2 linked regions of the Bombyx mori genome follow. The protein of the gene in region 1 interacts with the protein of each later gene in a biochemical or structural test. Links are inferred from orthologs where the notes say so. Each region holds a gene or a part of one and is shown on either strand. Other genes may lie near its edges.

Evidence for each region.
Region 2: the proteins of dihydrolipoyllysine-residue acetyltransferase component of pyruvate dehydrogenase complex, mitochondrial (region 1) and pyruvate dehydrogenase E1 component beta subunit form a complex in vitro, tested with the Homo sapiens proteins (2 studies listed by BioGRID and IntAct, with this or other methods). The link is inferred for Bombyx mori from reciprocal best matches to the Homo sapiens genes DLAT and PDHB.

The regions. Positions count from the first base shown.
Region 1 is NC_085109.1:9,393,243-9,397,492, forward strand, and holds the start of dihydrolipoyllysine-residue acetyltransferase component of pyruvate dehydrogenase complex, mitochondrial, read right to left. Parts: upstream 2,801-4,250; 5' UTR 2,686-2,800; coding exon 2,567-2,685; intron 1,029-2,566; coding exon 850-1,028; intron 235-849; coding exon 52-234; intron 1-51. Other genes in the region: RpL37A (ribosomal protein L37A), read left to right, coding at 3,576-3,578, 3,754-3,882.
Region 2 is NC_085112.1:15,809,803-15,814,326, reverse strand, and holds the start of pyruvate dehydrogenase E1 component beta subunit, read left to right. Parts: upstream 1-1,448; 5' UTR 1,449-1,663; coding exon 1,664-1,872; intron 1,873-2,756; exon of another isoform or gene 2,757-3,010; coding exon 3,011-3,164; intron 3,165-4,200; coding exon 4,201-4,387; intron 4,388-4,524. UniProt on the Homo sapiens protein: The pyruvate dehydrogenase complex catalyzes the overall conversion of pyruvate to acetyl-CoA and CO(2), and thereby links the glycolytic pathway to the tricarboxylic cycle.

The sequences.
Region 1 (4,250 bases):
AAACTATATCATGCTGCATGCATTTATTAAAAAGTCATGCACAATACTCACAGTCATCTTTGAAATCTTTGAATGCCGCAACATCATTCTGATCTCCAACAATAATGCACAATAATTTCCCGACAGGCACTCCCTTTGTACCGGCCGGAATCAATATTTTGGCCAGGTAACCTTCTTCAGGTGTCTCAAAGCCCATAGTTGCTTTGTCAGTTTCAATCTCGCACAGAAGATCGCCTATAAAGTAGAACAACAAATAAATTAATCCAAATGAATACACAATTTTATATAAAAAAAAACAGTAATTGTTTGTATACAGGTCACTGAAAAACACGAACAACATATTCTCTTCTTTTTCCAACCAAGCATACATTTTATCATTTAGAGTTCAATATTTGTACTCTCCCATTGTAAAAGAAAAGACAGTTCGCAAATGCTATTGATAAAAATCATTTTCATTTTTTTTATTCTATCAGGAATTATAAGTCTTGCCGTTTTGCCACCTGTCTTTGTTTTTGGAATAGATTTTGACATACTTTTCAACAAAATGCAAAAAGTTGTGAACAAATTTTAATGGAATATTTTGGTGCAATTACATCTTAACTACTTCCATATTAATATACCACATTTAATGTAAGTGAAACAGTAGCACACAATTAGTGTAATTGTGTATAGGTATAAAGGAACTTTTCCTGAAAATTAAGATAGATCAAGTATATTTGTATAGTTATTCACGCCCTGTTTGTTATTAATTACAAAATTAAAGATCGAATTCTCTTTACTGTTAATTTTTATACAAAGAAAATAAATTCACTAAAATAGCCTATTAATAACCATGTTTCCAAGCTATACCTTCACTAAGTTTGTCCCCTTCCTTTTTTTCCCAGCTTACAATTGAACCACTCTCCATGGTTGGCGAAAGAGCTGGAAGGTTGACCTTTATATGTGATGGTAGACTCGAATAATACCTCATCTGAACAGTCCATTGTGGTGTAGATAGAACTGTCTGGTTCTGTGCATGTTCTAACAATCTGAGAATGATAAAAATATGATAGTTACTCTTATATGTAATTTTAGTATGTATTAGAATAGTTCTTTATTGTGTCTAGACCGCAAAAGGAAAACCATGACAAATATAATATACATTTTAATGACCTCCATTCCGAACTACTAGATTTAAAATGTATAGTTTGCATAGATGAATTAAATATCACTTAATGTTTTTTTTTTTTTAAAGACTCAAATGTTGTATAGTGTAAGCATCAATCAAACTGCCATTAATTCCTAAGATGATTACTAGCAAACCTCAGACTATCATTTCTAATAAGGACTGACATCAAATCTGTTGACTACTGTAGGCTAAATTTATGATTCAATAAAGTATTGAATTCATTTAAATATTTTGGACAATCACAGATCAGATTTAGCAGTAGGCAGCAGCTTGGCTCTACCCCTAGCATTGTTGATGCCCATGAGCTACAGTAGCCACTTTCAATCAGGTGGGCCGTATGTTCGATTGCCTGCTATGGCAATAAAAAATAAAAATAAATCATCAGATACAGTGATACTTAAAATCAGGTCATGTTCTTAAAAAATAATCTAGTTTTGTACAAGTTAATGACAAGGAATTATCAGTCATCCAATGGTAAAAATTGTATACTAAAGTAAAGTATCTATGATCCCATTCACATAAAGATAAGTAATCATGCTTCTTTTAAGCACTGTGTTTGAGCAGTGATTTGTTAGTAATTAACATTTTTATATCACTGATGTTATTAAAGTATAGAAAATCTTGGAACGGTGTTATGATATTAACTTTATAGTCCTCAAAGTTTAAAGACAGCTACTCAGTAGAAAGATAGGATATTCAACATAGATTATAAATGAATGTTCTATTATGTCTGTTAAATTAATTTTAATTATTTTGGTCAAAATTTACTACAATATGTAGCAAATAGAAATTACTTTACTTTGATTTTTATTTTTATTTATAATTTTAAAATATCATAAAAAAGTATATTTCTTAAATTTATCTTGTTTTAATCAGAGTAAACGATCTTAAGGGTAGATCAGAATTTTGGGTTAGTTAATGTGATCCAAATATGGTTTTTATACTTATTTTCAGATTTTATTAACTTGCTGTTAAAATATATATATATATTATAAATGATACAACAGATCACACCTAACATTTAATCAGTTACAAATAAAAATAATAAAATGTATCGAATGTCACTGAATCATGGATAAATTGATTGTGCTCGCCAAATTGTTGATGCTTGAAACATTATTGAATTAGACTTATATGATATTTTTTTAAATCACAAATTCTGAGTTTCAACCATCGGACACGTGTGATTGCCGGTACATACTAATCGCAAAACCATGACAACTGCCAAGGTGAAGAGCAGCGACTGACGTTGTGGGTTATGCAACTACTACGAATTACAGCGCCAATTTAGGATAGTTTACAAAACATTGTAACATACACTTAATTTTGAAATATAACTAATTATACGTAATGTCTAATTAATATACTATCAAATTATTTAATTTCGAAAAAACTTACTTATTCGTAACTTTCCTTTTTGCCAGTTCTGTACTAATGCACCTCGTAATGTTCGACCGTATAGCTTTCTTAAGACCATCGCTTAAGATTTGATTCCGTAACACAATTGTTCGCAACATTATCAATATTTTTTACTAAAACTATTCCGTCCAGATGAGCGGGACGGTTTTTTGGAAACCGTGAGATCGACCTTCTGCAATCTGTAGGTCGTTGAGTTGATAAACTTGACAATTGTTTTGATTGACATTTGATGACATCTGGATGTCAGACATTTTTTTCTTTTAAATTAAAATGAACGAGTTTAACAAATGGGTGAAAAAAAAACTAATAGAGATATTGGAGTAAAGCAAAATTATAGAATAGAAATCATAACTATTTTAAAGGTTAACAATAACAGGAAGACCTTTCACAGAATATCTTATTTTGCGCTGTAAAACTGCTTTCTCTCCGATTTTGTAATTTTGAAACTTATACTGTGTGGTATATGTGATGCACAGAATACATATTTTTTTTTTCTGTATTCTGAGATGTGATGAAATGTAAAAATGTAAATTAAGATAAAATCTCGGTTAGGAAGTATGTCTTCACAACAATTTTTTTTTTTTAACTATACGAACTATAACTAAAATGATGTTTTACTCTATAATTACTTAAAAAACTTAACTCAAGATGGCGGCGGCATTTACATTGTAGATGTCTATGGGCTCCGGTAACCACTTAACATCAGGTGGGCAGCTCGCTGAGCTCATCCATCCACCTAGGCAATAAAAAAATAAAATAAGCTTGTCGGGCTCTTATAATTTAGTTGAAATTTTAGTTAACTCTCACTAATTAACGATATCGATTTTAGCCTTTAAACTAATAATTTGGTAGTATGGGCGTTGCTTCTTTTGCCTATCTCAAAGACAAATAAAACAAAAATATAAATTGTTGACAAATTCATTTGCCGTCAAAGTCACAACTGTTTTTCTTTTCTCTGTCAACTTTTGTATCGGAGAGGTTTACCAAAATGGTGAGAATTAAATTTTAAAATATTTCAGTAATCTTTCAGTCCTCATGTATATAAAATACTTAAGTTAAGTGTATGTGGTAAATTAATATTAAAATTATGGTTATTTTACGTAGTTCTGTTGTAGTCGGGGTTGCTGTTCGGTGTTTGGAAAAGTTAAAACTTTAATGCTTTTCAGGCCAAACGTACCAAAAAGGTTGGAATTACTGGCAAATATGGCACACGTTACGGTGCCTCTCTACGTAAAATGGTCAAAAAGATGGAAGTAACCCAACACGCAAAGTATACTTGCTCATTTTGTGGTAAGGTTAGTATCGTTTTTTTGGTCTAAGTTACTAATTTAATTAGTCACTAAGTAATCAAGAATCTGTTTAGATTGGTCAAGAACAATTTATATTAAATGTTTACCTTTTAAATCTTAAGATCCAAGTAATAAAAAAAAAGAAATAAATCTTGTAAGGAACCATATTTATAAAATGTTGAGGTTAATTCAATGATAGTGGTAGAAGTCGCTAGGGAGCTCGCTAATTAAATCAGTTGTTTTTGTTGGAAGAAAAGTGCAAGTAATCTCAACCGTGTTGTGCTATTTTGTGAAGATTGTTTATACACCTATTTGCTACAATACTTTTCATGCACATTTCTCATCAACCTGCTAAGATCAGTACTACTAAGTAT
Region 2 (4,524 bases), on another chromosome or scaffold:
CAACGATCTGCAAGGTGTTGGAAGCAGACCGCGGGCCCAACGAATTTTAGGGCCCACCCACTAAGCGACTCCCCTGCATTCTTACACCCGACGTCCGATCTCCGTCCAGGGTCAAAACCCGGTCACTGCCGACCGGGTTGCTCTTCCACAGTACGACGAAAATGCGGACCGCATCGCAGTCCGCAGCCGGCAACGCGTCGTCCCGACCTCCTGGTGCCAGCGCGCTAGAGTGACAGTAGCGTGCGGCGCAGTCTCAACCCCCTTAGGTCGCCCTGTGACCATCACCGGGAGGAGACTACCTCCTCATAGGGGCCGGAGCTGGACAAATGCCCTCCTCTGACCCCTGGCTCTGCGGTGGCGGCACGGCGCCGAGAGGGAGGAAGAGTTCTCCCTCTTCCGTTCCGCCACCTCCTTCTGCGAGATGGTGGACTCGCAGAAGTCGAGCATCGCCTGCCAGGACTCGTCGCTGCCGAGCATCGTAGCCACGACGGTCGGAAGCGACAAGTCCGGTCCTATTTTTGCAACGAGGACGCGGCGCTGCTCCGTGAAAGCGGGGCAGTACGCGAGCGTGTGCTCCGCTGTGTCCTCGTTGTAGCCACTACAGTGGTGGCATTTCGGCGTCGGCTCCCTTCGGGCGACGAGGTGCAGGTAACGACCGAAACAGCCGTGTCCCGTGAGCACCTGCGTCGCTCGGAAGGTGAGACGCCTTCGGTCGCGATTCACCCAGTCCGAGAGGACCGGGCGGATCGCCTCGACGGTCCGTCGCCCGTAGGCGGGGTCCGCCAGTCGGCGAGACCACGCCTCGAGCACGGCATGCCGAGATTGAAGCTTACGCGCTCGAACTTCCGCCACGCTGGGACGCGGCTCCCCCCTAGAGCGGAGATCGCATCGCCACGCGTAATCCGCAGCGAGCGCCTCCGCTTCCAGGTCCCAGGGAAGATAGATACCTCAACCAATTTCGAGAATGCCGCATTCAATCCCTCTTTTTATTTTATGACTTGTCTCGTGTTTTTTAATTCTATAGATGTACATTACCTTTTACAGCGCCATCTCTGTAATGATCACAGAACAGTATTACTTCTATGCATGTGCTGAATTTGAATTCTCTCTAGTAGAGACATCTATACATATAAGCTGAAACATTTATTATCATTTTAGTCGAAGAAAAGTAACGAATTTAAAAGTTTGATCACACAAAAAATTTTTTTTGCAGATTTATTAATTTTATTATGAAAAAACTCCTATTTTAAAATTAAGTAATAAGTACTGAATCCAAGAAATCGAATGACATGATCGATGATTTCATAAATAAAAGGATTAAGCTCGATGGACTTACTAGTAAAATGATAATAACGTAATAAAATTGTCGGCTTAAAATATATTTTGAAATTTGAAGTTTAAATATTAAACCGTAGTTCAGTTTCAATCGTACAAAGAAAAATTCTGACATTTAACAAATTTGACAACTACTGTAATGTCACAGTGTCATGCGTTATGCGTACGAACTTCAATGGATACACTAACGACCTCCATTCATCCTTCGTCGCGGTTCATTCGCGAATTTAATATCATTTTAGACAAAACTAAGATCTTACCTCGCCAATAAACCACCTTGCTGGTTTAGGTGTTGCAAAAATTATTTAACAGTGACATTATATTTAAAATGGCATTAAAATCATCGCCGGCTGTTCTCGGGATGCTCACTCGATTATCCCGTCGCAGTTTTGCCACATCGAAAGCTCTGGCTTCTAAGCCGGTGACTGTAAGAGATGCTTTAAATCAAGCGATCGACGAGGAGATGGAGAGAGACGAGAAAGTCTTCGTTTTGGGAGAGGAAGTCGCTCAATACGATGGTGCCTACAAAGTTACAAGGTAAAACATTCTAACCTATCGTATGTACATAACAGTCGACTATTATATTTACTAGTTATTGCTGAAATTTCAACTTGATTTGCTATTTTAATCTTCTCTGTTATCTCAATTAAGCTCACAATAGATTGTATGTAATCCAAATTCGTTTCATCATTACATAACCCATTCATTTGTTGACAGATTGTCAAGTTCAATGTTATCGTTAGCAAATCGATAGTGCAGTCGATGTACTGTCGATACGACTGCAGTAAACAAACAAACACCCGAATGCAATTTGGCTAACCAATGAAATATAAATCATATAAAATGGATCGAAATTCATTAATACATAATATTTTCAACCTATTTATAGTTTAAAACAATTTCTGTAATTTATACTAGATAATATCTATCGAATATGTTGGAACAAAATTCTGAAAATCTGAAAAATAAAAATCACATCCAAAAGTAAAAAATATATTTAAGTGTGTGCAGACATTTAACTATCATCATATAAAAGAACGCTGTTTCATATAAGATTTTAATGCCATTAATCCTGAAAATTTAGAATGATATCTTCCTTCATACATGAAGATTATGAAAACATTAAATTCTTTAAACAGACAAAATAAAACTTAAATATAAAAGTGTTAATGCTCAGCTATAATGCCTTCTCTTAATATGAAACAATAGAAACATAGAATACTTAAAGTTTACAACCTTTATATTTTAAGCTCTGAATTATAAACTAAGCCTATCAGTATTTAGCGTACCGGTCTCGTCACAGTTAAAGGCCAGATAAGTAACATTAATTAATCTGGGCATGTAACTTTTATTCCAAAAGTATTATTGCATGTGACTTCGAACTATGATCAGATGGGCTTATATCTAAAGTGTACATTGTATTATTCAGTGAACACAGACATCCTACTACTACATCCTCTATTTCTACTACTAACATAAATACATGAATATAAATTCCCTACTGTTGCACTAAGTTTGCATCTAGTTGGTGACTCATAGGTGAGTTTTAGCTTCCCCAGCATGGTTCTAAATAATGTCAATGCACACTACATGAAGCACTAATCAATCATTAAATAATAAATTTCATGTGATGACAAAAGATGAACAAGATATGAAAACCAACAAATAATTTTAGGGGTCTATGGAAGAAATATGGTGATAAAAGAGTTATCGACACACCCATCACAGAGGCAGGATTCGCCGGTATAGCTGTTGGAGCTGCTTTTGCAGGGCTCAAGCCTATTTGTGAATTCATGACCTTTAACTTCTCTATGCAAGCTATTGATCATGTGAGTGTCCTGATAAAATTGATAAGTTGTATTTAATGAACAAAATCCTCGTAATGTCCATGACACAATTGGTGGTGTTATGTCAAATGTTGACAATGACCAAAAAATCACAAATATAAATAAACAAATATGTAACAAAAAATATAGAAAAGGGATATCCCAATGAGTTTCTCTCTGGAAATGCTCAATGTGTGGTTGTTTTCAGTGAAACACTTGCTATGGATTTTATTACCAAGCTCTTTGAGGTTAAGTCCATGACCTCAGCCACCTCAGTCACAGTGGAGGCTGAATAGGCCCTCGAGGCTACTGGCAGATAGGTAGACCAAAAAAATACAAACATAAAACTGCATTATGACAACAATTCCGAAAATTTAAAAGATTAAAACAATGATACGTAATGAATCCCATAAATACATGTTTAAATATAAATCCTTTTGTGTGTCATGTGTTGATAAGAATGTACTAAAAAAAATATGGCCGATAGTCATCCATAATTATTAACTTTCTAAATAACTTGAAAAGATTTGTCTGTTGATATTGTCAATTTTAAAAAAGTAAATAAAAGCGCCACAAGGTTACATCTTACAGATTAAAACTTGATTATCCATTTTCTAATGTAATTAAAATTTCTACCTATAATCACGACAAGTCTTACTGGTGGTAGGACCTCTTGTGAGTCCGCGCGGGTGGGTACCACCACTCTGCCTATTTCTGCCGTGAAGCAGTAATGCGTTTCGGTTTGAAGGGTGGGGCAGCCGTTGTAACTATACTTGAGACCTTAGAACTTATTCTCAAGGTGGATGGCGCATTTACGTTGTGGATGTCTATGGGCTCCAGTAACCACTTAACACCAGGTGGGCTGTGAGCTCGTCCACCCATCTAAGCAATAAAAAATAAATAAATAAAAGTCTATAATTACTTTATGATGAATCCATAAAATGTGATGGTTTCCACAACGATTTAAGCCTAAGCGGGTCATGATCCACATATACGAACCGAAAAATCCAACTACATTAGTAAAAAAATTCACTTCCAGATAATAAACTCAGCCGCCAAGACCTTCTATATGTCAGCTGGCACAGTACCAGTGCCAATAGTATTCCGAGGACCTAATGGAGCTGCCTCCGGTGTTGCCGCACAACATTCCCAGTGCTTTGGTGCCTGGTACAGCCACTGTCCAGGCCTTAAAGTTCTAATGCCTTATTCAGCAGAGGATGCTAAAGGTAAGCAGTTCACCTAGTCATTTTATGCATAGCCAATGAATCTAAGGGAAATATATAAATTGACAACATCAAGCTGTGCACATTTGATTATATATATTTGTATATATTCAAAGAATGTCGTTTTTAATACTATCATC